Linked DNA regions of Anolis sagrei. The protein of the gene in region 1 interacts with the protein of each later gene in a biochemical or structural test. Links are inferred from orthologs where the notes say so. Each region holds a gene or a part of one and is shown in the gene's direction. Other genes may lie near its edges. The genes, in order: IKBKG, IRAK1, NFKBIA and SENP2.

What was found.
Region 2: the proteins of IKBKG (region 1) and IRAK1 form a complex in vitro, tested with the Homo sapiens proteins (3 studies listed by BioGRID). The link is inferred for Anolis sagrei from reciprocal best matches to the Homo sapiens genes IKBKG and IRAK1.
Region 3: of the proteins of IKBKG (region 1) and NFKBIA, one has a biochemical effect on the other in vitro, tested with the Homo sapiens proteins (15 studies listed by BioGRID and IntAct). The link is inferred for Anolis sagrei from reciprocal best matches to the Homo sapiens genes IKBKG and NFKBIA.
Region 4: the proteins of IKBKG (region 1) and SENP2 form a complex in vitro, tested with the Homo sapiens proteins (2 studies listed by BioGRID and IntAct, with this or other methods). The link is inferred for Anolis sagrei from reciprocal best matches to the Homo sapiens genes IKBKG and SENP2.

The regions. Positions count from the first base shown.
Region 1 is NC_090022.1:174,520,887-174,528,561, reverse strand, and holds the start of IKBKG (NF-kappa-B essential modulator), read left to right. Parts: upstream 1-4,674; 5' UTR 4,675-4,779; intron 4,780-7,675. UniProt on the Homo sapiens protein: Regulatory subunit of the IKK core complex which phosphorylates inhibitors of NF-kappa-B thus leading to the dissociation of the inhibitor/NF-kappa-B complex and ultimately the degradation of the inhibitor.
Region 2 is NC_090022.1:175,997,223-176,004,381, forward strand, and holds the start of IRAK1 (interleukin-1 receptor-associated kinase 1), read left to right. Parts: upstream 1-4,151; 5' UTR 4,152-4,385; coding exon 4,386-4,494; intron 4,495-7,159.
Region 3 is NC_090021.1:301,262,551-301,269,395, reverse strand, and holds the start of NFKBIA (NF-kappa-B inhibitor alpha), read left to right. Parts: upstream 1-3,833; 5' UTR 3,834-3,924; coding exon 3,925-4,142; intron 4,143-4,943; coding exon 4,944-5,052; intron 5,053-6,314; coding exon 6,315-6,522; intron 6,523-6,845. UniProt on the Homo sapiens protein: Inhibits the activity of dimeric NF-kappa-B/REL complexes by trapping REL (RELA/p65 and NFKB1/p50) dimers in the cytoplasm by masking their nuclear localization signals.
Region 4 is NC_090023.1:222,745,695-222,752,839, forward strand, and holds the start of SENP2 (sentrin-specific protease 2), read left to right. Parts: upstream 1-4,129; 5' UTR 4,130-4,163; coding exon 4,164-4,258; intron 4,259-6,349; coding exon 6,350-6,405; intron 6,406-6,900; coding exon 6,901-7,010; intron 7,011-7,145. Other genes in the region: TMEM41A (transmembrane protein 41A), read right to left, coding at 2,469-2,569. UniProt on the Homo sapiens protein: Protease that catalyzes two essential functions in the SUMO pathway.

The DNA.
Region 1 (7,675 bases):
CCCCATTACTTTACTGTGTTGTGCCTTCTTCCCACAACTTCCAAACTGTAAAACAAAAAGTAATGCTTTCTTTTATATTGCCAGAAAAAAAATTGGTTACTATTAACACTTTGCTTATTACAGCCATTGGTTTGAATCTCCATTCAAACATGGAGAGCATCAAATTCAAGTGACCTAGGGTCGCTGCGGAGCCCCCGGTGGCGCAGTGGGTTAAAGCACTGAGCTGCTGAGCTTGTTGATCGAAATCGAAAGGTCGCAGGTTTGATTCCGGGGAGCGGCGTGGGCTTCCGCTGTCAGCCCTAGCTTCTGCCAACCTAGCAGTTCGAAAACATGCAAATGTAAGTAGATCAATAGGTACCGCTCCGGCAGGAAGGTAAGGGCGCTCCATGCAGTCATGCCGGCCACATGACCTTGGAGGTGTCTACGGACAACGCTGGCTCTTCGGCTTAGAACTGGAGATGAGCAACACACACCAGAGTCAGACATGACTGGACTTAATGTCAGGGGACTACCTTTACCTTTACCTTTTTAGGGTCGCTGCAAGTTAGAAATGACTGGAATAATGACAACAGCAATAATTCTGGCTTTCTCCCAAAACTGAAGCTCAAGGTGGTTAACAACATATTAAAAACAATGCAAGTTGAAAACAATTCAAAAGTTTGAATAAAAGGATAAATATATGAGTTGTTATAGGTTTTTTCGGGCTACATGGCCATCTTCTAGAGGCATTCTCTCCTGACATTTCGCCTGCATCTATGGCAAGCATCCTCAGAGGTAGTGAGGTCTGGACCACTCTAACAACCACCATGTCAGACTACACAGAGAAGCCATTGAAATGTGGGCAATTTCAACAGAAAAAAGAAAACCATGAAAATGAACAAAACCTAGCTACCAGTATTAAAAAACTCTAAAATTACAACAGCAAAACAACAGAGAGGAAACAATCTGGGACATCTAATCACCTCTCAACAAAAGATTGCCCCAGGCACTGCCAGGCCATCAAATGCTATTTTTATATGCTTTGATGTTTTATATCTAATGTTATGTTGTTTATTTTATTGCAATTTGTATTGTTATATTGTATTCTTGTTCGGGCTTGGCCCCATGTAAGCTGCTCCGAATCGCCTTTCGGGAGATGGTGGCGGGGTACAAATAAAGATGATGATGATGATGATTATTATTATTATTATAAACAAGCACCTTGGTATCCCTACGGATGTCCCGGTCCTTAAACACTCTCTGCTTCATTCGGAGAAATGCTGCATTCACAGAGCTCAGGCGGTGTTGTATTTCAGTGTCAATGTTGACTTTTGTGGAGAGGTGGCTGCCATGGTAGTGGAAATAGTCAACATTTTCTAATGTTACACCATTAAGTTGTATTTCTGGCATTGGAGAGGGATTGGCTAATGACTGCTGGAACAGCACTTTGGTTTCCTCGATGTTCAATGACAGGCCGAGAAGTGCGGGGAATACCCTTGCTTTAAGTATGCGGATCTTCGTTGCCAGTGTGATGTCTCTACTCTTCACTGTTTTATTGAGATTGGTCATTGCTCTCCTCCCAAGAAGTAAGTGTCTTCTGATTTCCTGGCTGCAGACTGCGTCTGAAGTAATCGTTAGGCCTAGAAATACAAAATTTGTCACTGCCTCCATGTTTTCTTTCTCTTTTTGTTGTTCATTCGTTCAGTCGTCTCCGACTCTTTGTGACCTCATGGACCAGCCCACGCCAGAGCTCCCTGTTGGCCGTCACCACCCCCAGCTCCTTTAAGGTCAGTCCCGTCACTTCAAGGATGCCATCCATCCATCTTGCCCTTGGTCGGCCCCTCTTCCTTTTGCCTTCCACTTTCCCCAGCATAATTGTCTTCTCTAGGCTTTGCTGTCTCCTCATGATGTGGCCAAAGTACTTCAGCTTTGTCTCTAGTATCCTTCCCTCCAGTGAGCAGTCGGGTTTTATTTCCTGGAGGATGGACTGGTTGGATCTTCTTGCAGTCCAAGGCACTCTCAGAACTTTCCTCCAACACCACAGCTCAAAAGCATCTATCTTCCTTCGCTCAGCCTTCCCTAAGGTCCAGCTCTCACATCCGTAGATTACTACAGGGAATACCATGGCTTTGACTAGGCGGATCTTTGTTGCCAGTGTGATGTCTCTACTCTTTACTATTTTATTGAGACTCGACATTGCTCTCCTCCCAAGAAGCATCTTCTGATTTCCTGGCCACAGTCTGCGTCTGCAGTAATCTTTGCACCTAGAAATACAAAGTCTGTCACGGCCTCCACATTTTCTCCCTCTATTTCCCAGTTGTCAATCATTCTTGTTGCCATAATCTTGGTTTTTTTGATGTTTAGCTGCAACACGGCTTTTGCGCTTTCTTCTTTCACCTTGATTAGAAGGCTCCTCAGCTCCTCCTCGCTTTCGGCCATCAGAGTGGTGTCATCTGCATATCTGAGGTTGTTAATGTTTCTTCCAGCAATTTTCACCCCAGCTTTGCATTCATCCAGCCCCACACATCCTTGCATGATGTGTTCTGCATACAAGTTAAAAAGGTTGGGTGAGAATATGCAGCCTTGCCGTACGCCTTTCCCAATCTTGAACCAGTCTGTTGTTCCGTGGTCAGTTCTGACTGTTGCTCCTTGGTCCTTGTACAGATTCCTCAGGAGAGAGACAAGGTGGCTTGGTATGCCCATCCCACCAAGAACTTGCCACAATTTATTATGATCCACACAGTCAAAGGCTTTAGAATAGTCAATGAAGTAGAAATAGATGTTTTTCTGAAACTCCCTGCCTTTCTCCATTATCCAGCGGATATTGGCAATCTGGTCTCTCCTTCCTCTGCCTTTTCTAAACCCAGCTTGAACATCTGGCAACTCTCGCTCCATGTATTGCTGGAGTCTTCCTTGCAGGATCTTGAGCATTACCTTACTGGCATGAGAAATAAGGGCCACTGTACGGAAGTTGGAGCAGTCTTTCGCATTTCCCTTTTTTGGTATGGGGATATAAGTTGATTTTTTCCAGTCTGATGGCCATTCTTGTGTTTTCCATATTTGCTGGCATATGGCATGCATCACCTTGACAGCATCATCTTTCAAGATTTTAAACAGTTCAGCTGGGATCCCGTCGTCGTCTCCTGCTGCCTTGTTGTTAGCAATGCTTCTTAAGGCCCATTCAACCTCACTCCTCAGGATATCTGGTTCTAATTCATTCACCACACCGTCAAAACTATCCTCGATATTATTATCCTTCCTATACAGATCTTCTGTATAGTCTCGCCACCTTCTCTTGATCTCTTCAGCTTCTGTTAGGTCCCTGCCATCTTTGTTTCTTATCATACCAATTTTTGCCTGAAATTTACCTCCAATGTTTCTAATTTTCTGGAAGAGGCCAGTTAATCGGTCTGCATAATTTAGTTGTTAGTGCTAATGTATTGTGTTTCATGTTGAATGGACGAACCCAGAGGGTGCTCACCAATGCTTCCTCTTCATCCTGGAAAGAAGTGACGAGCGGAGTGCCGCAGGGTTCTGTCCTGGGCCCGGTCCTGTTCAACATCTTTATTAATGACTTAGATGAAGGGTTAGAAGGCAGGATCATCAAGTTTGCAGACGACACCAAATTGGGAGGGATAGCCAATACTCCAGAGGACAGGAGCAGGATTCAAAACGATCTTGACAGATTAGAGAGATGGGCCAAAACTAACAAAATGAAGTTCAACAGTGACAAATGCAAGATACTCCACTTTGGCAGGAAAAACGAAATGCAAAGATACAGAATGGGGGATGCCTGGCTCGAGAGTAGTACGTGTGAAAAAGATCTTGGAGTCCTCGTGGACAACAAGTTAAACATGAGCCAACAATGTGATGTGGCGGCAAAAAAAGCCAATGGGATTTTGGCCTGCATCAATAGGAGTCTAGTGTCTAGATCTAGGGAAGTAATGCTACCCCTCTATTCTGTTTTGGTTAGACCACATCTGGAATATTGTGTCCAGTTGTGGGCACCACAATTCAAGAGAGATATTGACAAGCTGGAATGTGTCCAGAGGAGAGCAACTAAAATGATAAAAGGTCTAGAGAACAAGCCCTATGAGGAGCGGCTTAAGGAGCTGGGCATGTTTAGCCTGAAGAAGAGAAGGCTGAGAGGAGATATGATAGACATGTATAAATACGTGAGAAGAAGCCACAGGGAGGAGGGAGCAAGCTTGATTTCTGCTTCCCTGGAGACTAGGACGCAATGGAGCAATGGCTTCAAACTACAAGAGAGGAGATTCCATCTGAACATGAGGAAGAACTTCCTGACTGTGAGAGCCGTTCAGCAGTGGAACTCTCTGCCCCGGAGTGTGGTAGAGGCTCCTTCTTTGGAAGCTTTTAAACAGAGGCTGGATGGCCATCTGTCAGGGGTGATTTGAATTTAATATTCCTGCTTCTTGGCAGAATGGGGTTGGACTGGATGGCCCATGAGGTCTCTTCCAACTTTTTGATTCTATGATTCTATGTCCACACATTCCTTCTTTATTTCCTTCTTGGGGTGATTCCCTCTTCAATCCCGCCATGAAAGGCACTAAGGGGCTCCCCCTCCCAGCTCTAAGACCAGGCCCATTTTCTCGCCTTCGCTTTCCCTCTCTGAGTCTGGCCGTCTGCTGACGTCACTTCCGCCTCGGTCTTGCTCCTTTCGATTCCCGGAGTTGCTTTCTCTTTCTGGACGTCACTTCCGGATCAGACCAAAACAAGGTTCCAGGAAGGAGGAAGCGGGAGGAGACGGCGGCATTGGGCAGGCTGGCGTCGAAAGGAAAGGTGCGACTCTCTGTTTTTCGTAAAACTCAGGCGGTGAAAGGAGGGAATAGGAGCTGGGAAGGGGGTGTCAAAGACTGGGGACTGAGCCTGTGACTCCCGCCCGAAGGAGGTGTGCGGACAGGAGCCCTTCCTTCCTGCCCTAAAAGTGAAACTGAGGTGCCTGGGGTCCAAAAACTATAATATACATGGCATTTGGGAGCTCAAGAGGAGTGCAAAGTGGGCTAAGCCTGGCTGAGGTCTTCCTTTTCTGGGAGCAAGTCCAGAAATCCCTTCTTTGGCAGATGATAAGTTTGTTTGTAGAGACTACAACTCCCAGAATCCCCCCTTCGGTAGGGCAGATGGCTGTTCCCTCGGGGGATTCTGGGAGTTGTATCCCAAATTGTCCAGGCTCTCCCCCTAACACGACTCTGGGTGGAGAATCAATGGGAGTCTGACACTACTCCTGGGAGATGTAGTTTCATAGAGTCTTAGCCAACATTGGCTAAAACATATTATCAAACAGGCCTCATAAATAACACATTAAGCAGCTAAAATCTGTGTAAAAATATGTTGTTGTTGTTCATTCGTTCAGTCGTCTCCGACTCTTCGTGACCTCATGGACCATCCCACGCCAGAGCTCCCTGTCGGCCGTCACCACCCCCAGCTCCCTCAAGGTCAGTCCAGTCACTTCAAGGATGCCATCCATCCATCTTGCCCTTGGTCGGCCCCTCTTCCTTTTGCCTTCCACTTTCCCCAGCATAATTGTCTTCTCTAGGCTTTCCTGTCTCCTCATGATGTGGCCAAAGTACTTCAACTTTGTCTCTAGTATCTTTCCCTCCAGTGTAAAAATATAAAAGTATAAAAATGTCTCTCTCTTATAAGTTAAGGCAATTGCTGTCCTCATCATCATCATCTATATAAATAAAAATGTAATGTTCATTTGTGAAATTAACATAACTCAAAAACCACTGGATGAATTGACATCAAATTTGGACACAATACACGTATCGGGCCAGCCAGTGACCATCACTCATAAAACGCTAAAAAACACAGCAGAAGAGACTTAAAAAGCCAAAAAATTAAAAAAAATACATTACAACGCATGCACAAAACCACATATATCTACGCAAACACACATATATACATGCACATATAGACACACATTCACATACAAAGCACACATACACAGACTGAGCCAGGGGATGGCTAGTACAAGATAAAATCAATAAACTGTGCGGTTTACAACAGCACAGAAACATACAACATAAACTAGACCATTGCAATTAACCCAAATAGGTTACATAGTCTTTCCTTGTAGGATGTTAAAATTATCATTCAAATAAATACTCAGTGGTTCTCAACCTGTGGGTTCCCAGATGTTTTGGCCTTCAACTCCCAGAAATCCTAACAGCTGGTAAACTGACTGGAATTTCTGGGAATTGTAGGCCAAAACACCTGGGGTTGAGAACCACTACTCTAAAACTAAACAGAGGCTGGATGGCCATCTGTCAGGGGTGATTTGAATGTGATTTTCCTGCTTCTTGACGTGGTTGGACTGGATGGCCCACGAGGTCTCTTCCAACACAATTATTCTATGATTCTATGACTGTCTGTAGTTACATTTAGTACTTGTTGATAGGCTCCTCCTTATAATCCTTTGTATATATTACATTTTTGTTGTTAAAGAATATAGAGTGGTATCCATGAACCTCATTATGTGCCCACTCAAAAAAAATGCAATAACACTGTCATAAATTAGGCTGAGATGGTAGGTGGGTCATGATCACCCAGGAAGCTTTGTGGCTGGACTTATATATTATATATCTAGGTCTCTCTTGCATGTTACACGAATGGGTAGCTGTGGTCCACCAAATGCTGTAAGACTGCAGCTCCCATGAGACATAACTACTAGGTAGGGATGTTGAGAGTTGTAGTCCTTCAGCATCTGAAGAGTCACAAGCTATCTGTCCCACAATGTATTGTTGTTCATTTGTTCAGTTGTTTCCGACTCTTCGTGACCTCATGGACCACGCTAGAGCTCCCTGTCAGCCGTCACCACCCCCAGCTTCTTCAAGGTCAATCCAGTCACTTCAAGGATCCCATCCATCCATCTTGCCCTTGGTCGGCCCCTCTTCCTGTTTCCTTCCATTTCCCCCAGCATAATTGTCTTCTCTAAGCTTTCCTGTCTTCTCATGATATGAACAGAGTACTTCATCTTTGCCTCTACTGTCCTTCCCTCCAATGAGCAGTCAGGCTTTATTTTCTGAAGTATGGACTAGTTGGATCTTCTCGCGGTCCAAGGCACTCTCAGAACTTTCCTCCAGCACCACAGTTCAAAAGCATCTATCTTCCTTCGCTCAGACTTCCCTATGGTCCAGCTCTCACATCCGTAGGTGACTACATAGAATACCATTCCTTTAACAATTTATACAATTTATTCGCTACACTAAATCCAAGTGTCAGTGCTAGAAATCTATCCTTAGGCATCTTATGGGACACAAGAATTCAGTTTCTTTGTTTTCTCTTTATAATTGGCCATAGAAGGCTAGCTATCTCTGTGAATATGTATTTCTTACATATTTCAGCCCATGACCAGGAGGTTCATATTCAGTACTCCGCCATGTAAAACATACAAGAAGAAATATCTGTGATCAAGGGATAAAGTTTCAAACTTAAAATTTTCATAGACATGCTATTAAGTAATGCATCAGCCATTTTTGCTTGTATAGAGAAGGATTTAGATGTATGTGCTACTATCTACTATCTGATAGCCCAGTAAAAGTATTTTATAACCACAGAGAGAAATAAGGCAAAATCCTGCTGTTCCTCTCCTCTTATTCAAGAGCAATGGTCGATTGATGTTTATGTGACTGAATGAGCTAGGCTTTGCTCTGTGTGCATGTCCATCCCATTCTTC
Region 2 (7,159 bases), about 1.5 Mb from region 1:
TTGAAAACGGTTTGGAAACTTCAATTTGTTCAAAGATCGACAGGTAGGTTGTTAGCGTGAGTGGATATAAGAGAACCAAGTATCCCACTCCTGAAACAGCTGCATTGGCTCCCATTTAGTTTCCGGGTCTGATTTAAAGTACTAATTTTGACCTTTAAAGCCTTTCACAGCATCAGTCCAGATTACCTGAGACAACGGGTTCCTTTGTAAACACTGAGGAGATTGTTAAGATCAAGTGGGGAAATTCTGGTGTCCTCAAGCATCCGTGACAGTCTCCATTTGACGATCGCTAAAGAGGGGTCCTTCTTGGGAGTGGCTCCCTCTCTTTGGAATGCCCTCCCAGGGGAGATTAGATCTGCACTCTCTTTTTTGGCATTCAGGATGAGCCAAAAAACCTCCTTTTCAAAGGAAGTCTTTGGAGGAAACTAAGTTAGGAAGGCTCTTCGACTTTGTTACGTATTATCAGTGTGGTATTCAATGTATTTTATTGGGGTTTAATTAGTGTTTCACAGCATTCACTCATATTTATGGTTTTGTTTAAACAATTATATTGTATGTTTATACTGAGTGTAAGCTGCCTTGAGGCAGGAAAGATGGGGCATATATTTCATAAATAAATAACTAAATAAGTTGATTGCCAGGTACTTCCGTGATTCTTTAAAAGGGCCCAGCTTTGTAGAGTACAACTGTGTACATACATACAAACCGTTTACAGAACACCAGCCCACCACATGCATGCACACTAATTCACAGAATTGCAAAAATGAGTGTCATAATAACTATTTTTTAAAAATGTTTGCAGGTTCTATAAGAATTTGGCATTCGAAATCCAAACAAAAAGACCTCAGATTTGCTATATTACAGTTGTTTTCACAACTTGCTTTCAGGACTCTTAGGTTATACTATGTGACTGATGAAATAAGTGTTGGAATTTAGGAATTAAATTGGTGAAATAACTGTGTTTTATGACATTTTTTGTTTGTTTTTCAAATTCAACACCCCAAAATGCGTTAAAATCAACTACAATATTGAAATATTGCAGGCTTGTGATGGCACTGGCAACAGTGTTGTGACTTTGCCTTTTATCTTGGTCAACAGCACAAAAATCTGTCATACAGACTATCCTGGATTTCTCCTATTATTTGAGTTGCTTACAGGATATGTCCTAATCAGGCTCCAAGAGGACTGCCATCACAGAAGAATGCCATGTAGAAAGGGCTTACATTCTTCAGAGAGAATAGCAAGTCAGGCATGAGTGTATCCGCTTCCAAACAAGGAAAGACCTGTCCTTCTGATGGCAATACCTCATAATGGGATAAAAAGGTAAGCTCCATGGACATATATATGTTCTTCAGTGTTATTTCAACCAACCAGTGTCCCCATTTCAGTCTCTGATAGCTATCATTCACACTCTTCCCCCACTGCAGGCCCATAGCCAGAATTTTGATTCGGGGGGGGGGGGGGGCTTAAGTCAGGGGTCCTCAAACTAAGGCCCGAGGGCCAGATACAGCCCTCCAAGGTCATTTACCCGGCCCTCGCTCAGGGTCAACCTATGTCTGAAACGACTTGAAAGCACACAACAGCAATGTAATCAAATATGGTTTACCTATCTCTTCAGACAAAAAGCAGGCACACACTTCCCATTAAAATACTATTAAGTTTATACTGGTGGGGTTGGGGGGGGGGGGTTGTGTCATTTAGGAGTTGTAGTTGCTGGGATTTATAGTTCACCTACAATCAAAAAGCATTCTGAACTTCACCAATGATGAAATTGAACCTAACTTGGCACACAGAACTCCCATGACCAACAGAAAATACTGGAAGGGTGTGGTGGGCATTGACCTTGAGTTTGGGAGAGCACTGTGGACTCAAACAATGATGGATCTGGACCAAACTTGGCAGGAGTACTCCATATGCCCAAGTAGGAACACAGATGAAGTTTGGGGAAAATAGACTACATTTGGGAGTTGTAGTTACTGGGATTTATAGTTCACCTACAATCAAAGATCATTCTGAACCCCACGAACGAGAGAATTGGGGCAGACTTCCCACACATAACCCCTATGGCCAAAAGAAAATACTTAAGGCCATCCAGTCCGACTCCCTTCCATCAGTATTTGAAAATGTAATCAAATACAGTTTATCCACAAGCATAAAGAAATTACATATATTAGAAACCAACACTCATTACTTTATTTTCCAGATCACCAGACTGGGCCACAGCAATGCAGCAAGGGACGGCTAATATAAAATATACAAACATTGAAACAGAATTCAATATAAACAGTATTAAAAATTCAGTTTAAAAACAATTCAACATAATCAATGCATATTAAAATTAAAGCCACAGCATCTCCTGACTTGATCTTAAACGTACGTATAAGATATGTATGCAGTAAACAACGGCGCTCCATGCGGTCATGCTGGCCACAAGACCTTGGAGGTGTCTACGGACAACACCGGCTCTTCGGCTTAGAAATTGAGATGAGCACCACACCCCAGAGACAGACATGACTGGACTTAATGTCAGGGGACAACCTTTACCTTTAAACATTAATGTGGTGCTTAGACTTGGGTCCCATGGCCAAGCTACCTCATTACAAACTTCATCACACTACAGCAGCTATCCCTTTAAATCAGTGTTTCTCAACCTGGGGGTCGGGACCCCTGAGGGAGTCATGAAGGGGTGTCAGAGGGGTCGCCAAAGACCATCAGAAAACACAGTATTTTTTGATGGTCATGGGGATTCCATGTGAGAAGTTTGAGCCAATTCTATTGTTGGTGGAGTTCAGAATGTTCTTTGATTATAATGAACTATAAATCCCAGCAACTACAATTCCCAAAAGTCAAGGTCTATTTTCCCCAGGCTCCACCAGTGTTCACATTTGCGCATACTGAGTATTTATGCCAAGTTTGGTCCAGATCCACCATTGCATGAGTCCACAGTGCTCTCTGGATATAGGTGAACTACAACTCCCAAACTCAAGGTCAATACCCACCAAACCCTTCCAGGGTTTTCCGTTGGTCATGGGAGTTCTGTGTGCCAAGTTAGGTTCAAATCCATCACTGGTGGAGTTCAGAATGCTCTTTGATTATAAGGTAGGTAAAGGTAAAGGTAGTCCCCTGACATTAAGTCCAGTCATGTCTGACTCTGGGGTGTGGTGCTCATCTCTAAGCCGAAGAGCCAGCGTTGTCCATAGACACCTCCAAGGTCATGTGGCCGGCATGACTGCATGGAGCGCTGTTACCTTCCCGCCGGAGCGGTACCTATTGCTCTACTCACATTTGCATGTTTTCAAACTGCTAGGTTGGCAGAAGCTAGGGCTGATAGCGGAAGCACACACCGCTCCCCGGAATCGAACCTGCGACCTTTCGATCAACAAGCTCAGCAGCTCAGTGCTTTAACCCACTGCGCCACCGGGGGCTCCTCTTTGATTATAAGTGAACTATAAATCCCAGCAACTACAACTCCCAAGTTACAAAATCAATCCTCCCCCAACCCCACTAGCATTTACATGTGGGTGCATTGGGTATTTGTGCCCAATTTGGTCCAGTGAATGAAAATACATCTTGCATATCTAATATTTACATTATGATCGATAACAGTAGTAAAATGACTGTTATGAAGTAGCAACAAAAACAATGTTATGGTTGGGGGTCATCATTACACGAGGGACTGTATTAAGGCGTCATGGGATTAGGAAGGTGGAGAACCACTCCTTTAAATCCTGTGGCTGCCTCCCGATGAACTCTGGGGCTTGTAGTTTAGTGAGGCTCAGGACCTCTCTTAAAGTCTTCTCCCTAAACTACAAGCCCCAGAATCCTTCAGGAAGGAGGCAGCCACAGGCTTTAAAGTAGATACAAGCTCTCAACGTTCAAACACTCTTGGTCCCAAGCATTTGGAACACTCAAAATGTCCATAGAAGCAGCAGTCAGCGAAACTGAAGGCGGGTGAGGCAAAGCAATAGGCCAATAGAGGCTTTGCCGCATTCAAGATGGCTGCCTCACGTAGGATTAAGGAAGTTTCCCGTCATGCTGTGCCGCACTCAAGATGGCGGCCTGACTGACCTCCCAACGCTGCTCCGTCAACCAGGCCGAAGAAGCGAGGAGACGTCGGCGCAGGCGCAGAGCTGCCAAGGGGGCGCGGCTCGTGCTTTAAAGAGGAAGTGGCCCTTTTTCGGGGCGGCCTCCTCCTCCTCCTCCCTCAGTCTCTGTTTCTCTCTCTCTCTTTCTTTTCCTCGTTTTCTTCTCCTTTTCCCGCCCCCTCGTCCGGCCTCTCCTATGGCCTGGCCTGGGCGGAGGACGAGGAGAAGGAGAAGGAGGAGGGTGGCCGCCTCAGCAGCAGCAGCAGCAGCCTTATCCGCCAGGGGAAGGGCCCGCGGGGGATGGCCGGTTCCCACTCGCCCAGGTTCCTGTACGAGTTGCCGGCCACTGTCATGTGCCAGTTCTACGAGATTATGGACGCCCTCGGCCGGGCGGAGTGGCAGCGCTTCGGTGAGTGGCTCTCCTGGCTTCCCCTCAGGGAGTGTGGCCGCCCCTCCTCTCAGGCAGGATCTGATCCCGGATTATCTGGCAGTGGAGACTCATATAATCCAGTTTAAATAGAGTAAATCTGGGATCAGAACCTGGGATAGAGGGCAGGGCAGTATTATGAATCCAGGACCGGATTATCTGCTTTGAATCTGAATCACCTGCCTTGAACTAGTTTATATGGCATTGTAGATTTAGGACCCTTCCTGACAGCCATATAATTTAGAATATCAAGGCAGATAACCCACCATATCTGCTTTGAACTGTGTTATCTGAGTCCACACTGCCATATAATCCGGTTCAATGTGGATTTTATGCAGTTGTGTGGAAGGAGCCTTAGATAATCCAGTTCAAAGCGGATAATGTGGATAATCTGCATTGATAATCTGGATTATATGGCAGTGTAGAGGGGGCCTGAGTTTACATGGGCATATAATCGAGTTCAAAGCAGATAATCTGGATTTTGTATGACAGTGTAAAAAGGGACTGAGTCTACACTCCCATATAATCAAGTACAAAGCAGATAATCTGAATTTCTTATGGCAGTGTAAAAAAGGGCTGAGTCTACACTGTTATATAATCCAGATAATCTGGATTTTATATGGCAGTGTAGAAGGTCTGAGTCTACACTCCCATATAATCAAGTTCAAAGCATATAATATGGATTGTATAGCAGTGTAGAAGGGGCCTGAGTACACCCTGCCATATAATCCAGTTCAAAGCAGATAATCTGGATTTTGTATGACAATGTAGAAAGGGGCTGGGTCTACACTGTCATATAATCCAAATAATCTGGATTTTATATGGCAGTGTAGAAGGGGTCTGAGTCTACACTCCCATATAATCAAGTTCAAAGCAGATAATCTGGATTATATGGCAGTGTAGAGGGGGCCTGAGTTTACATGGGCATATAATTGAGTTCAAAGCAGATAATCTGGATTTCTTATGGTAGTGTAGAAAGGGACTGAGTCTACACTGCCATATAATCCAGATAATCTGGATTTTATATGGCAGTGTAGAAGGGGTCTGAGTCTACACTCTCATATAATCAAGTTCAAAGCAGATAATCTAGATTATATAGCAGTGTAGAAGGGCCTGAGTACACACTGCCATGTAATCCAGTTCCAAGTAGATAATCTGGATTTTGTATGATAGTGTAGAAAGGGGCTGAGTCTACACTCCCATATAATCGAGTTCAAAGCAGATAATCTGGATTATATAGCAGTGTAGAAGGGCCTGAGTACACACTGCCATGTAATCCAGTTCCAAGTAGATAATCTGGATTTTGTATGATAGTGTAGAAAGGGGCTGAGTCTACACTCCCATATGATCAAGTTCAAAGCAGATAATCTGGATTATATAGCAGTGTAGAAGGGGCCTGAATCTACACGCCCATATAATCCAGTTCAAAGCAGATAATCTGGATTTTGTATGACAGTGTAGAAAGGGGCTGAGTCTACACTGTCATATAATCCAAATAAACTGGATTTTATATGGTAGTGTAGAAGGTCTGAGTCTACATTCCCATATGATCAAGTTCAAAGCAGATAATCTGGATTATATAGCAGTGTAGAAGGGGCCTTAGTACACACCACCATATAATCCAGTTCAAAGCAGGTAATCTGGATTATATAGCAGTGTAGAAGGGCCTGAGTACACACTGCCATATAATCCAGTTCAAAGCAGATAATCTGGATTTTATATGGCAGTATAGAAGGGACGAGAAGCTCCTTCCACACAGCTGAATGAAATCCCACTCTTTCTGCTTTGAAGTGGAATATATGGCAGTGTGGACTCAGATATTCCACTTCAATTAGATATTGTGATATTTTCTGACTTGATATTCTGGGTTATAGGACTGTGTGGAAGGGCCCTGAGTCTACTCTACCATATAATCCAGTTCAAATCGGATAATCTGGATCATTTGGCAGTAAGGAAGGGTCCCAAGTCTATACTGCCATATAATCCATTTCAAAACAGATAATCTGAATTTTATATGGCAGCATAGAAGGAATTGTAGTCTTTTCACAAGAACAGACAGTGGAGTTTAGTAGCCTAATTTTGTATATATGTGTATACACACACACACACACACACATATATATATACCAAAGAAGGCTGCTAAAACACACAGTCAGTTCTTGTGAAAAGCCTAGGGCCCCTTCTACACTGCCATATAAAATCCAGATTATCTGCTTTGAACTGGAATATATGGCAGTGTAGACTCATATAATTCAGTTCAAAGCAGATAATGTGGATTATCTGCTTTGATAAACAAAATTATATGACAGTGTATAAGTGACCTAAGATTCATAACACACATTTTGGTACCCAAATGTTAGCCCTGTTTCTGGGTATATTTGTCCTGCCGATTCCTTATCTGCTCTCCTTTAGAAAACCATATCTTTGTGCTGGTCAGTGACCGTAATAAAGTTTTGTATTATAGTGTATTGATAGCCGTATCAAAGAAACAACAGCTGATGTGGTCTGTCCAATGCAGTTTTCTGAACCAGGGCCCCAAATAACCAAAGGAACAGGTCTAAAAATCAAGATACTAGGACATTTTTGGTTGTGGTGTTATTATCATGATATGTATTTATTTATTATATCTCGCATTTTCTCCCTCAAA
Region 3 (6,845 bases), on another chromosome or scaffold:
AGTTTCAAGACGGTATAGAAGAAAGCAATTTCATTGTGCAATGATTACATATGAAATCCTGGAATCAGCTTGAGGACCAGGTGATTATACAAACCACCAAATCTGGCCTTGAACCGGTTTCAGGATCCATGGTTTGACAGCCCCTAAGAATGATTTTTTAAAAGAAAAAAATCCCCAACCAGAATGCACATCTTCACATCAGCAGAGTGCTTTGGGTGCCTGCACAGTGATTCACATTCTGCAGAGCCAATTTTGCTTTGAAATGGAGTTTATACTGGAATACCGTAATGCACATTAAGGGCTTTCTTTTGGACTTTCCCCTGACTTAGTTTATGTTGGTTTAAAGTCCTTAAAGCACGCTACAGCATGCTTTATCAGCATGCATTTTCTAAACGCCAGAGTTTGAAGCTAGCTAGCAACTGAATCAAATATAGATGGGGCCCCTGTCTGTTTTACAGTCTCTAAAAACTAGTCATGGGGGAGAAGATAAAATCTGATCATGCCTTTTAAATGTGCACCAAATGTCTTAGCAAAAAATAAATGGCACTCTATCAAAAATGTTGCAGCATGTTGTAGTATATTCATCTGTGCAATCATGCAATGGTGAAGTGTGTAGGTGCGTGCATACATGTGTGTGCATATATGTGTGTGAAGTTTGTTTCAAAAAGGTACCAACTCCAACTGGACATATTTTACAGGAATTTAAAAAAACATGCTGAGGATATGCAATAAAATGCAATTTTCCAAGCCCAAGCCCTATACTGAAGTGAATTGATACATGTTGACAGTTTGATCTGTATTCTACTCACAGCCAACAATGTGCTGCCACATAGAAAACTCTCTCTCTCTCTCTCTCTCTCTCTCTCTCTATATATATATATATAATTTTGCTGTATCCTCATGTTTGCAAGCTGCAATATTATTGATAAGATATTATTTATTTATTTATTTGCAGTATTTATATTCCGCCCTTCACACCCCAAAGGGGACTCAAGGTGGATTACAATGCACATATACATGCAAACATTCAATGCCATTTAGACATGCAACATATATAGACATAGAGGCAATTTAACATTTCAGCGTTTCCAGCTTCATGAGGGTATGCTTGTTTCCGGTCACAGGGGGAGCTGCCACTTCACTGTCTACTTGTGACACCGGGTCCTTTGATGAAGTACTTCCCAATTCTTCTGCATGCTGCAGGAAGGTTTTATGGCGTCGTTAAATTAGCCTCCCCACAAAAAGCGGTACTTAAATCTCCTACTTGACAGATGCAACTGTCTTTCAGGCTTCATAGGTTGACAGCAAGCTAGACTATTAATGGTTGGGAGCTTACTCTGACCCGGGCTGTCTTTGAACTCAGAACCTCTCAGTCAGTAGTAATTTTATGCAGCTAACTAACTAGCTGCGCCACAGCCAGGTCCATATTCTATGTTACTTTGTGATGTACACTGAGATGTATTTGTAACACATAGATAGATAGTAGGCTTGGTTGCTCCAAAAAAAAAAAAAAAGATTCAAAACTCCTTTTGGATATAGGGGGTGCTGGTGGTTTGATTCTAAAGTCACTTCCAAATTTTTCCAAAAGAAAGTCAGAACTTTCCGAAACTTCCGTCTTTAGGCTCTGGGACTAGCTTTACTGGCTTGTGCCAATCTTTGCAGTTCGATCTTTAAATCATCGTATCATGTCAGCATTTCCAGTTGTTTATTATTATTTGGAACACAACGTGTCCACAGCAAACAAGATCACTCTGCTGGCTGTTGTATTGGATCACACATCGGACACACATCGGACACTTTGCAAGTGTCTAGAACTGTGTGATGTATTGGTGAATAATGCGTGCATATCCCAGTAGGGTGGCCTTTTGCAACTGACAGATGGTAATTTTGTTAGCGCGGATTGTACTTAAGTGCAGGCCAAGGTCTTTAGGCACTGCACCCAATGTGCCAATCACCACTGGGACCACCTTTACTGGCTTGCGCCAGAGTCTTTACTGGCTTGCGCCAGAGTCTAAATCCTCATATTGTGGATTTAGAAACAGCTTTTCAAGTTGTTTCTCTTCAATCCTGCTGTCGCCTGGGATTGCAACATCAACTATCCATACTTGGTTTTAACACAAATGTGAGGTCAAGAGTATTGTGCTCCAAAACTCTGTCTGTCTGAATTTGGAAGTCCCAGAGTAGTTTGACGTGTTCATTTTCTGTAACTTTTTCAGGCTTGTGATCCCACTAGTTCTTTGTCACAGGCAGATCATAGAATCATAGAATCAAAGAGTTGGAAGAGACCTCATGGGCCATCCAGTCCAACCCCCTGCCAAGAAGCAGGAATATTGCATTCAAATCACCCTTGACAGATGGCCATCCAGCCTCTGCTTAAAAGCCTCCAAAGAAGGAGCCTCCACCACACTCCGGGGCAGAGAGTTCCACTGCTGAATGGCTCTCACAGTCAGGAAGTTCTTCCTCATGTTCAGATGGAATCTCCTCTCTTGTAGTTTGAAGCCATTGTTCCGCGTCCTAGTCTCCAGGGAAGCAGGAAACAAGCTTGCTCCCTCCTCCCTGTGGCTTCTTCTCACATATTTATACATGGCTATCATATCCCCTCTCAGCCTTCTCTTCTTCAGGCTAAACATGCCCAGCTCCTTAAGCCGCTCCTCATAGGGCTTGTTCTCCAGACCTTTTATCATTTTAGTCGCTCTCCTCTGGACACATTCCAGCTTGTCAATATCTCTCTTGAATTGTGGTGCCCAGAACTGGACACAATATTCCAGATGTGGTCTAACCAAAACAGAATAGAGCGGTAGCATGACTTCCCTGGATCTAGGCGCTATGCTCCTATTGATGCAGGCCAAAATCCCATTGGCTTTTTTTGCCGCCACATCACATTGTTGGCTCATGTTTAACTTGTTGTCCACGAGGACTCCAAGATCTTTTTCACACGTAGTGCTCTCGAGCCAGGCATCCTCCATTCTGTATCTTTGCATTTCGTTTTTCCTGCCAAAGTGGAGTATCTTGCATTTGTCACTGTTGAACTTCATTTTGTTAGTTTTGGCCCATTTCTCTAATCTGTCAAGATCGTTTTGAATCCTGCTCCTGTCCTCTGGAGTATTGGCTATCCCTCCCAATTTGGTGTCGTCTGCAAACTTGATGAGGAAGAACTTCCTGACTGTGAGAGCCGTTCAGCAGTGGAACTCTCTGCCCTGGAGTGTAGTGGAGGCTCCTTCTTTGGAAGCTTTTAAACAGAGGCTGGATGGCCATCTGTCAGGGGTGATTTGAATGCAACATTCCTACCTCTTGGCAGGAGGTTGGACTGGATGGCCCATGAGGTCTCTTCCAACTCTATGATTCTATGAAAGGACATTTAACCAACTACCAAGCTTGCAAACTTTGTGTTTTGTTTGTTTGTTAAAAAATGCAATGCAACTGTTTGGTCTGCCCCTGACGCGATAAATAAATACCCAATAATAATAATAATAATAATAATAATAATGCCACCCCATCCCCTTCCTTTTGTGGGTGTCCCTACGAAAATAACATGCCACCCAAGGCCAGATTAGTTTACTAGAGGGGGGAAAAACAGATAGGGAGGAAAATCCCAAGAAGGAATGGTTGGGCCTTGTTTTGTCTTTCTTCTCAAGGGGCAAAGATTGAGACAAGGGGGGGGGGGCAGTTGGGGTGGCTTCTCCTGAGTCACATAACAAGCCGTGGAGAAGAGAAGTACTTTCCCTGGTGTGGAAAAAAAAGCACCAAGTTTCCGAGGGAATTCCTCTCTGGCTGGCTGGGCTGGGAAATTCCCGCCGCCAGGCTCCTCCCCGCCGAGAAATCCCCTTCCAGGCGAGGCGCTATAGGCCCGAGCCAGCCCCGCCCGCCCGCCTTTCTCTCTCGCTTCTCCTCCTTCAGGCACATTTCTCTCCTCTCCTCCTCGACATGCTCAGCCCTGCTGTGGATCTCTTCGCCATGGAGGCCCCGAAGAAGGAGCGCCAGCTGGACCAGGACCGCCATGACAGCGGCCTGGACTCTATGAAGGATGAGGAGTATGAAGATCTGGTTCGGGAGCTGGAAGGCATCCGTTTGCAGCCGGTTCTCCCCGACGTGGCGGCTCCTCAGGCGGCTTGGAAGCAGCAAGTGACCGAAGATGGAGACACGTAAGTCCTCAGGGAAGAAAGGAAGGGGTTTCTGCAAAGTTGGGCCTTGGAGGTGTTTTGGACTACAACTCCCAGCATGCCTCACGGCCTCAGGCCCTTTCCTTTTGCCCCTCCGCCGTTTAAGCGGCGGAGGGGCAAAAGGAAAGGGCCTGAGGCCGTGAGGCATGCTGGGAGTTGTAGTCCAAAAACCTCCAAGGCCCAAGTTGGCCCATACCTGATCTACTTTGCCCAAACTTGAGTTCCCCACTTTCTGTTCATTCTTTCCTTCCTCCTCCTTTGTTTTTTCCCCTTTCCTCCTCCAGTTACATAAAAATCCTGGGGAATTTTTTTCTTTTTGCAAGGCTGGGTTTTTCCAGCCTTCCATTCTTCCTTTTGGGCGGGGCTTCAGGGAGGGGTGGGCGTGGCTTATTGTCCTCGAGGCGCCCGCCTGGAAAGTCCCTGGCCGCGCGCCAGGGACACCGCGCTCTCTCACACTGCTTCCTCCTCTCCTTTCGGAAAACACCCGGATGCACGCTCAGGCGCATGCGCGAGCCTTGGAAACTCCAAGCTTTCAACATCTGGTCCTGACATGTGGGATGTCTATGTGCTTCCTTTCCTTTGACAAAGCTGATCTCAGGGATTATTTTAAAAACACTTAGGGAATTTGGGTATGTGGTATGTTTGGGGAGGTTTTACTTATTTTTCTCTATTTTACCTATTTTCCTATTTTCACTCTTTTATTATTATTCTGAAATTGTTGCTAATAAAAATGATTTTTTTTTAAAATTAATGTTTTTTTTCTCTCTTTCTGTACATTTGCAGATTTCTCCATCTGGCAATTATTCACGAGGAAAAGTCCCTGAGTTTGGAAATCATTCGCCAAGCGGAACGAGACACGGCTTTCCTGAATTTCCAGAATAACCTCAATCAGGTACTTTAAGAGAGTTGGAAGAGATGTTGTGGGCCATCCAATCCAACCCCATGGGAAATCGCATTCGAAGCACCCCCGACAGATGGCCATCCAGCCTCTGCTTAAAAGCCTCCCAAAGAAGGAACCTCCACCACACTCCAGGGCAGAGAGTTCCACCGCTGAACAGCTTTCATAGTCAGGAAGTCTTTCCTCATGTTCAAGTGGAATCTCCTTTCTTGTAGTTTGAAGTCATTGTTCCGCGGGCAGGAGAAAACAAGGCTGCTCCCTATGATTTCCCCTTCACATATTTATACATGACCCTCAATATGTCTCCTCTCAGCCTTCTCTTCTGTAGGCTAAATATTCCCCGCTCTTAAGCCACTCCTCATAGGGCTAGTTCTCCAGACCCTTGATCATTTTAGTCCCCCTCCTCTGGACGCCTTCCAGCTTGTCCCCATCTCCCTTCAATTGGGGTGCCCAAAATTGGACACAATATTCCAGATGTGGTCTGACCAAGGCAGAATAGAGGGTCAGGAAAGAATGCTTCTGTAACATGGCCATACAGGCTGGAAACCTCACAGCAAACCAGATCTTGAACTGTTATCCCCAAAGTAAACAAACAAAAAAAAAGAATTGGTAGTAGGGGACATCATCCATTAAGTTGCCCATTTGGATTCATCTACACCAGGCACCCTCCAGCTGTTTGGACCTCCAACATGCAGTAGCCCTATCCGGCTTGTTCAATGGTCAGGGTCCCCAGATGTTTTTGGCCTTCAAGTCCTAACAGCTTGTAAAGTGGCTGGGATTTCTGGGAGTTGTAGGCCATAAATATCTGGGGACTACAGGTTGAGAATCACTGCCCTAGGCTCGTGGGAAGAGCCCGCTATTCAGAGACGAATCCCAGACACTTGGGGCCCTTCCAGGCAGGCCCTATATCCTAGGATCCGATCCCAGGTTTTTTGCTTTAAACTGGATTATATGACTCCTCACCAAATAATCTGTGATAAACAGAAAACCTGGGATCAGATCCTTGGATATAGGGCCTGGCTGGAAGGGACCTCAGACTTCAACTTGGGGATGGTTCATTACAAAATTAATGCAGCTTGATACCACTTTAATTGCTGTAGCTCAGTGCTATGGAATTGTGGGAGTTGCAGTTTTGCAAGGTCTTTGCAAACAATCATGCATATCTAACCACTTCCTCATTAGAAATGGTGCTTGAAGTGAGGGTTTGAAGTCTAGTAGAATTCCTTTGCTTATCAGGCCATTCTTTGCCCTTGCAGACTCCACTCCACTTGGCTGTGATCACGGACCAGCCAGAGATCGCGGAGACTCTCCTGAAAGTCGGATGTGACCCAGAGATCAGAGATTTCCGAGGAAACACTCCTCTGCACATTGCTTGTGAGCGGGGCTCTCTCAGCAGCGTCGGTGTCCTCACACAGTATTGTCAGAAGCAAGTCTGCTCCCTCCTACAGTCATCCAACTACAATGGTAAGCTCATATCTGATATACCACTGACGTCAACTTGCCCAGTCATTGCACACTTCGACCTCTGGCATCATAGTTTTGCCCAATGAATAAGTGACTTTCTTGGCTAGCTCTCAATAAAGATTACTGGGGCAAGTGTCACGTAGTTAAGAGAAGGCATGCAGGGTTTTTCCCCCTGATCCATTCATAGCAAGTTTTCCCAGGCGTTTTGGAGTACAGCTTCTACAGCAAGCATGGGCAAACCAGCTGTTAGGAATTGTGGGAGTTGAAGTCCAAAACACCCAGAGAGCCAAAGTTTGCCCACACGTATTCTGTAGTATGGTAAT
Region 4 (7,145 bases), on another chromosome or scaffold:
GAATTGAAGTCCAAAACACCTGGAGGGCCAAGTTTGCTCATGCCTGGTTTAGATGCACCCCAATAAAGCACTTAGAACCATACTTGAGTTGTATCTTACACAATGAGCCCCCGGTGGCACAGTGGGTTAAACCCTTGTGCTGGCAGGACTGAAGACCGACAAGTCGGAGGTTCGAATCCAGGGAGAGCGTGGATGAGCTCCCTCTGTCAGCTCCAGCTCCCATGCGGGGACATGAGAGAAACCGCCCACAAGGATGGTAAAACATCAAAACATCCAGGCGTCCCCTGGGCAACATCCTTGCATATAGCTAATTCTCTCACACCAGAAATCACTTGCAGTTTCTCAAGCTGCTCCTGACATGAAAAAAAAATCTTACAGAATAAATCAAACATGCTGAAACATTTTAGACTGAAATATTTAAGCTTGGAATGACATGTCACTCCACCTGCTGTCGGGGTCATATTGGAACAAATAGTGCTGATGTTTATTTAACTGGCAGAGCGAGTCACTGGGCTCCTGAGGCCACTTAATTCAGGATCCTTTCATGATTGCATTTCATAACAACTCCTGATGCCAAAACTCAGTTTGACTCCGCATGCAACAGCACATTTCCGCACTCAGGGCAGCATCAGATTTCGGCAGCGGTGTATTTTTAGGCTGACTCCCACAGTCGCGGGACCTTCAGAATTCAGGACACAAGGATCTGAACTGAATTGTAATGCAAGGGATGCATCTACATGGGAGAAGCAACACAGTTTGATAGCACTTTTAAGTGCCATGGATCAATGCTACTGAATTCTGGGAGCTGGAGTTTAACCAAGTCTATAGCCGACTGTAGATTTGCGTGAAACCCAATGGAACAGATCGACGACAAATCGGATAAAGGAATAGTCCACTGTGCCTATGAGTGTTGGTGCCGAGACATTAACCTTGGGGGCATCCAAGAATGAATGCAGTTTGACACCATTTTAACTGCCATAGCTGAATGTTAGGGATTCCTGGGAGATGGACTTTAATGAAGTCTATAGCCAACTATATATCTGCATGAAACCCAAAGGAACATTGGGTGCATCCACACTGTAGAATGAATGCAGTTTGACACCACTTTAACTGCCATGGCTCAATAGAATAATGGGAGATGGAGTTTAGCAACGTCTATAGCTGACTATATATTTGTGTGAAACCCAAACAAACAGATTGACGACAAATCAGATAAAGGAATAGCCAACTGCGTCTATGCCGTTGAGGCTGCGACATTAACCTTGGGTGCATCCACACTGTAGAATGAATGAAGTTTGACACCACTTTAACTGCCACGGCTCAATGCTATGGATTCCTGGGAGTTTAATGAAGTTTATTTATTTATCGACTATAGTTGTATAGTTGTATTTATCGACTATAGTTGTATACCACTTTTCTCAGCCCACGGGCGACTCAGTTTACAGAGGCATAATACAATGCCCAAACATCAGAAAACATTTAGAAACATTTAGAACATTAACATATTATATACAATCATAATAAGGTCAATAAAACATCAATCATAAATCATGACCTTCTGAATTCAGGACACGACGATCTGAACTGAATTGTGATGCAAGGGGTGCATCTACATGGGAGAAGCAACACAGTTTGATAGCACTTTTAAGTGCCATGACTCAATGCTACTGAATTCCAGGAGATGGAGTTTAACAAAGTCTATAGTCGACTGTAGATGTGCGTGAAACCCAATGGAGCAGATCAACGACAAATCGGATAAAGGAATAGCCAACTGTGCCTATGGGCGTTGATGCTGAGACATTAACCTTGGGTGCATCCACGCTGTAGAATGAATACAGTTTGACACCACTTTAACTGCCATGGCTCAATGCAATAGAATCATGGGAGTTGTGATTTCACAAGGTTTTCAGCCTTCTCTGCCAAAGAATGCTGGTGCCTTGGCAAACTACAACTCCCAGGATCCACAGCATTGGTAAAGTGGTGTCAAACTACATAGATTATATAGCAGGCATGGGCAAACTTGGGCCCTCCAGGTGTTTTGGACTTCAATTCCCACCATTCCTCGCAGCCTCAGGCCCCTTCCTTTTCCCCCTCAGCCACTTAAGCGGCTGAGGGGGAGAAGGAAGGGGCCTGAGGCTGCGAGGAATGGTGGGAATTGAAGTCCAAAACCCCTGGAGGGCCCAAGTTCACCCATGCCTGTTCTCCAGTGCCTGGAATATCATTATGCCAAGAGGTCACACTGTAGAACTGATGCAGTTCGACACCACTTTCCCAGCCCTTGCTCAAGGCTGTGGGATTGTGGGAGTTGCAGTTCCTTGCAGCACTCTTTGGCAGAGATGGCTACAAACCCTGTCAAAGTACAACATCTCCCATGGCTTCACGCCTTTGAGGTGGGATGGTGTCAAAGCTGCACTCAGTTCTCCAGGCTGAGAGAGCCGAAGGAGGAGGCGACAGCAGCAGCGACTCACCTGCTCCCCGCGCGGGGCTCTCCGGGGAGCCGCGACGACAACAGGGAAAGGCCGGCGGTGGCGGCTCCCAGGACTAGGAGGAACCCGACCAGCGGCTTCATGGCGGAGCACCAGCGATGAGTCCTGGGGAGGCACGAGAGGCGGAACTGAAAGCAGCGGGCAGAGGAGCCAGCGGAGCAGAAAAGGGCGGGCACTCCTGGCGCTCCAAGCCGCGCCCCGCCCCTCTCGTGAGTCTTAAAGGGCCAGAGACCCAGGATTTCCAGGATGAAACACCAATCCCTGAATTCTGTCGCACTGGCTTCTGGGAAATGAAGTCCAAAAAACCAAAAACAAACATAAGGTTGAACGGTGGCGCAGTGGGTTAAACCACTGAGCTGATGAACTTGCTAACTGAAAGGTCTTAGGTTCGAATCTGGGGAGCGGAATGAGCTCCCGCTGTCAGCCCCAGCTTCTGTCAATCTAGCAGTTCGAAAACATGCAAATATGAACAGATCTGGGTTGTTGTATGGCCATGTTCTAGAGGCATTCTCTCCTGACGTTTCGCCTGCATCTATGGCAAGCATCCTCAGAGGTAGTGAGGTCTATTGGAACTAGGAAAAATGCGTTTATATATCTGTGGAATGAACAGGGTAGGGCAAAGAACTCTTGTCTGTTGGAGCTAGGTGTGAATGTTTCAGCTGACCACCTTGATTAGCATTTGATGGCCTGGCAGTGCCTGGGGCAATCTTTTGTTGAGAGGTGATTAGATGTACCTGATTGTTTCCCCTCTGTTGTTTTGCTGTTGTAATTTTAGAGTTTGTTTAGAGTGAAACATGCAAATGTGAACAGATCTGGGTTGTTGTATGGCCATGTTCTAGAAGCATTCTCTCCTGACGTTTCGCCTGCATCTATGGCAAGCATCCTCAGAGGTAGTGAGGTCTATTGGAACTAGGAAAATTGGGTTTATATAACTGTGGAATGACCAGGGTGGGGCAAAGGACTCTTGTCTGCTGGAGCTAGGTGTGAATGTTTCAATTGACCACCTTGATTAGCATTTGATGGCCTGGCAGTGCCTGGGGAAATCTTTTGTTGAGAGGTGATTAGATGTGTCTGATTGTTTCCCCTCTATTAGGTCTAGTGGAACTAGGAAAAATGGGTTTATATATCTGTGGAATGACCAGGGTGAGACAAAGGACTCTTGTCTGCTGGAGCTAGGTGTGAATGTTTCAACTGACCACCTTGATTAGCATTTGATGGCCTGGCAGTTCCTGGGGCAATCTTTTGTTGCGAGGTGATTAGATGCGCCTGATTATTTCCCCTCTGTTGTTTTGCTGTTGTAATTTTAGAGGTTTTTTTAAAGAGTGAGTAGATCAATAGGTACCGCTACGGCGCGCCAGGCAGTCATGCCGGCCACATGACCTTGGAGGTGTCTACGGACAACACCGGCTCTTCGGCTTAGAAATAGAGATAAGCACCACTCCCCAGAATTCGGACAAAACTGGACTTAATGTCAAGAGGGAAACCTTTACCTGAATGCCACATACAGAATTGGAACGTATTTGAGGCGTGTGAGGGATTTGAGTTAAGGAAACTAAAGTATTTCCCTTTCACAGGTGTGCTTTTCTCTCCTTATTGAAAGCGTGGCTACGTCACTTCCTCAGCGCCCCGTCGCTGGCCAATGACGTGCTTCCGGCCCGGTCGCTGCGGCTGAGGCCTATGCAGCAATGGCTGCCCGAGGCTCTGCGCTGGTGGTTCTCCCCAAGGCCCACTTGCCGCCGGGAGGCGCCGCCTGCTCGGCCGAGGAAGAGACGGTACCTCCTCTTTGGGCGGAGCGGGCCTTCCAAGGGGTTTCGGAGGGGAGTTGCCCGGCCAAAGAAGAGCCTTCCCCGAAGGCCTCCCTCTCTCAGGCCCCTTCCACACAGCTGCATAGAACCCCATAGTATCTGCTTTGAAGTGGGGTATATGGCAGTGTGGACTCAGATAGCCCACTTCAAAGCAGATATTGTGGATGGTCTGCCTTGATATTCTGGGTTATGTGTTTGTGTGGAAGGGCCCTCGGACAGTTTGACCTCACCAACTACACCTGGCAGTTTGGTGCACTAACTACACCAGGTATGGGCAAACCTGGGCCCTCCAGGTGTTTTGGACTTCAACTCCCACCATTCCTCACAGCCTCAGGCCCCTTGCTTTTCCCCCTCAGCCGCTTAAGCGGCTGAGGGGGAAAAGGAAAGGGCCTGAGGCTCTGAGGAATGGTGGGAGTTGAAGTCCAAAACACCTGGAGAGCCCAAATTTGCCCATACCTGAACTACACTGTGGAAATAAGGCACTTTGACTTCACTCAATAATACAAAAACATGGGAGTTGTAGTTTGGTGAGGCGCCAATACTCTTTGGCAGAAAAGCCTAAAGACCTTGTAAAACTACCACATCTTCCATGATTCTGTAACATTAAACCAGGGGTCCTCACTTTTTAAACAGAGGGCCAGGTCACAGTCCCTCAAACTGTTGGAGGGCCGGATTATAATTTGAAAAAAACATGAATGAATTCCTATGCACACTGCACTAGGTGCAAAACCCACTTAATACAATAATTAAAATGAAAAACAATTCTAAAAATATAAACTTATTAGTATTTTAATGGGAAGTGTGGGCCTACTTTTGTTTGATGAGATAGGATTGTTGTTGTTGTGTGTGCTTTCAAGTCATTTCAGACTTATATTGACCCTGAGTAAGGGCCAAGTAAATGACCATGGAGGGCCGTATCCGCCCCCTGGGCCTTAGTTTGAGGACCTCTGCATTAAACCATGCAGTTAAAGTGGTGACAAACTGCATTCGTCCAACAGTATAGATCAGGCATGGTCAAACTTCAGCCCTCCCAGTGTTTTGGACTTCAATTCCCACACTTTCTAATAGCCAGTAGATAGTGGTTCCCAACCCATTTGGGGTCTCCAGGTAGCAGTGAGCTATGAAAAAATTAAGAAGGGAAATCCATAACCGTGTCCTGCACAGCGATTAGTTTGCATGTATTCTACAGTCAGATCTCAAGTTACAAACATGCAACTTATAAACGACTCATAGTTAAGAGTATAACTATGACAATAAATGACATAGTAAGAGTGAGGATGAGACAATAGGAGAGGAGAGAAATCTACCCCAGGAAGGGAAATTCACTCCTGAAAGAGTTATCATGGGGGAAAGGTGTCTCTACTGAAGCTTTCTCACCAATCCTTGTTTCCACAACAAGCTTTCTCCCCCCTCCCCCCCCCCCAAATTTTTTCAATTATCGCCAGGACGGAAAGTCCACAGACAGCAAAACAAACACTATAGGAGTGTTAACACTTCCCTATGCTATCCAAAGCTATATAATATATATCTGTGAATGGAGAAATATTTGGTTTGTGTTGGTTCTCATAATATATATCATTTCCTATACAGTATATGTAATGAAGCTGTGTCCCAGTATTGTTATTGTTTGAGACCATATGGACATGTAACTATGCAGCAATCTTGCAATATATGTGGTAGATTGGAATTTTTTTTGTTCATATCAAGAAAGTAGATTAATCAAGTAATACGAAAATACTGTTTTTTGATGTAATGAAGTCAAGAATAACTGCTGCAGGCATGCATCGTCTTAATGGTTACAATTAACAAATTCCACCTTTCTTATATGCTGCAGGTCAGTTGGGTAACCCATACATTGGTATTGAGTATTGTTATAAGGAAAACCTCCGGGTTAGCAGATGTGACCATCAAGTTTGTAGATATGTACAGTGACTGTTCGGTAGCTGTAAAATGGTGCCTGTTATGCCTGAGAGCATGGTGTTTTTGGAGATTGGTACTTCAAGCTGAGAAAGAAAGATTCCTTGTTTCTCAAATTAATTTGTCTTTTTCTCTTCACAGCATTCAGTCTAATCCAGAAGACTTTGAACATGAGCAAATAAAAAGGCAAAAACTTGGTAAATTACCCCTGTTCAATCACTTTTCATATGATTGTAAACCTTGAAAGAAAAGAGCAGAAAGAGCAAATGCTTGAAATAGATCATAACAATTACTAGTAGTAGCCTGTAATTATGTTTATATAGTGAATTGATGTTGTTTGAATAAGGCCCGGATTAAGAAGAGGAGAACATTGTAAAAATACATGTTTGAGAACTATTGACAGTAATTTGCTATATGTTTGTGACATAGAGATAGTAAAGAACATTGTACTGCCCTAAATGTTCTTGGAATCCATTTGTGTAATCCATTGACTCAATCCTCTAACATAGTCAAAATTACATGAATGTCAGAAAAAATCATAACCCAAAGAAGGACTTCCTGTGGGAGTTTTCCCTTGTGACAGTGATACTGTATTGTACTGTATGAGATTTAGGATGTGAGTTTTCCTTTGACTTCCGTACCAAATTTCCTAGATAAATGATGTGTCATTTAATGTTATTAACTCTTTCCAGGTATTTTTGGTATGTTGGCAAGGGGAATTGCCAATTTAATTACACTCCCGTCCCAGTTGGCATCCAAATATCTTCAGACAGAAGAACAGCATGCAGAAGCCAAAGATGAGGTTTGTTTGCTTTTTGAGATGATAGGATCTTCTTATTGAAGCCAAATTAAATGCATAGAACTATTGTTTTGGCAGAGAGTAGGATGGAACTGAGTATCTTACAGTTAGTAATTCCTATTGTAATCTAAAATACAG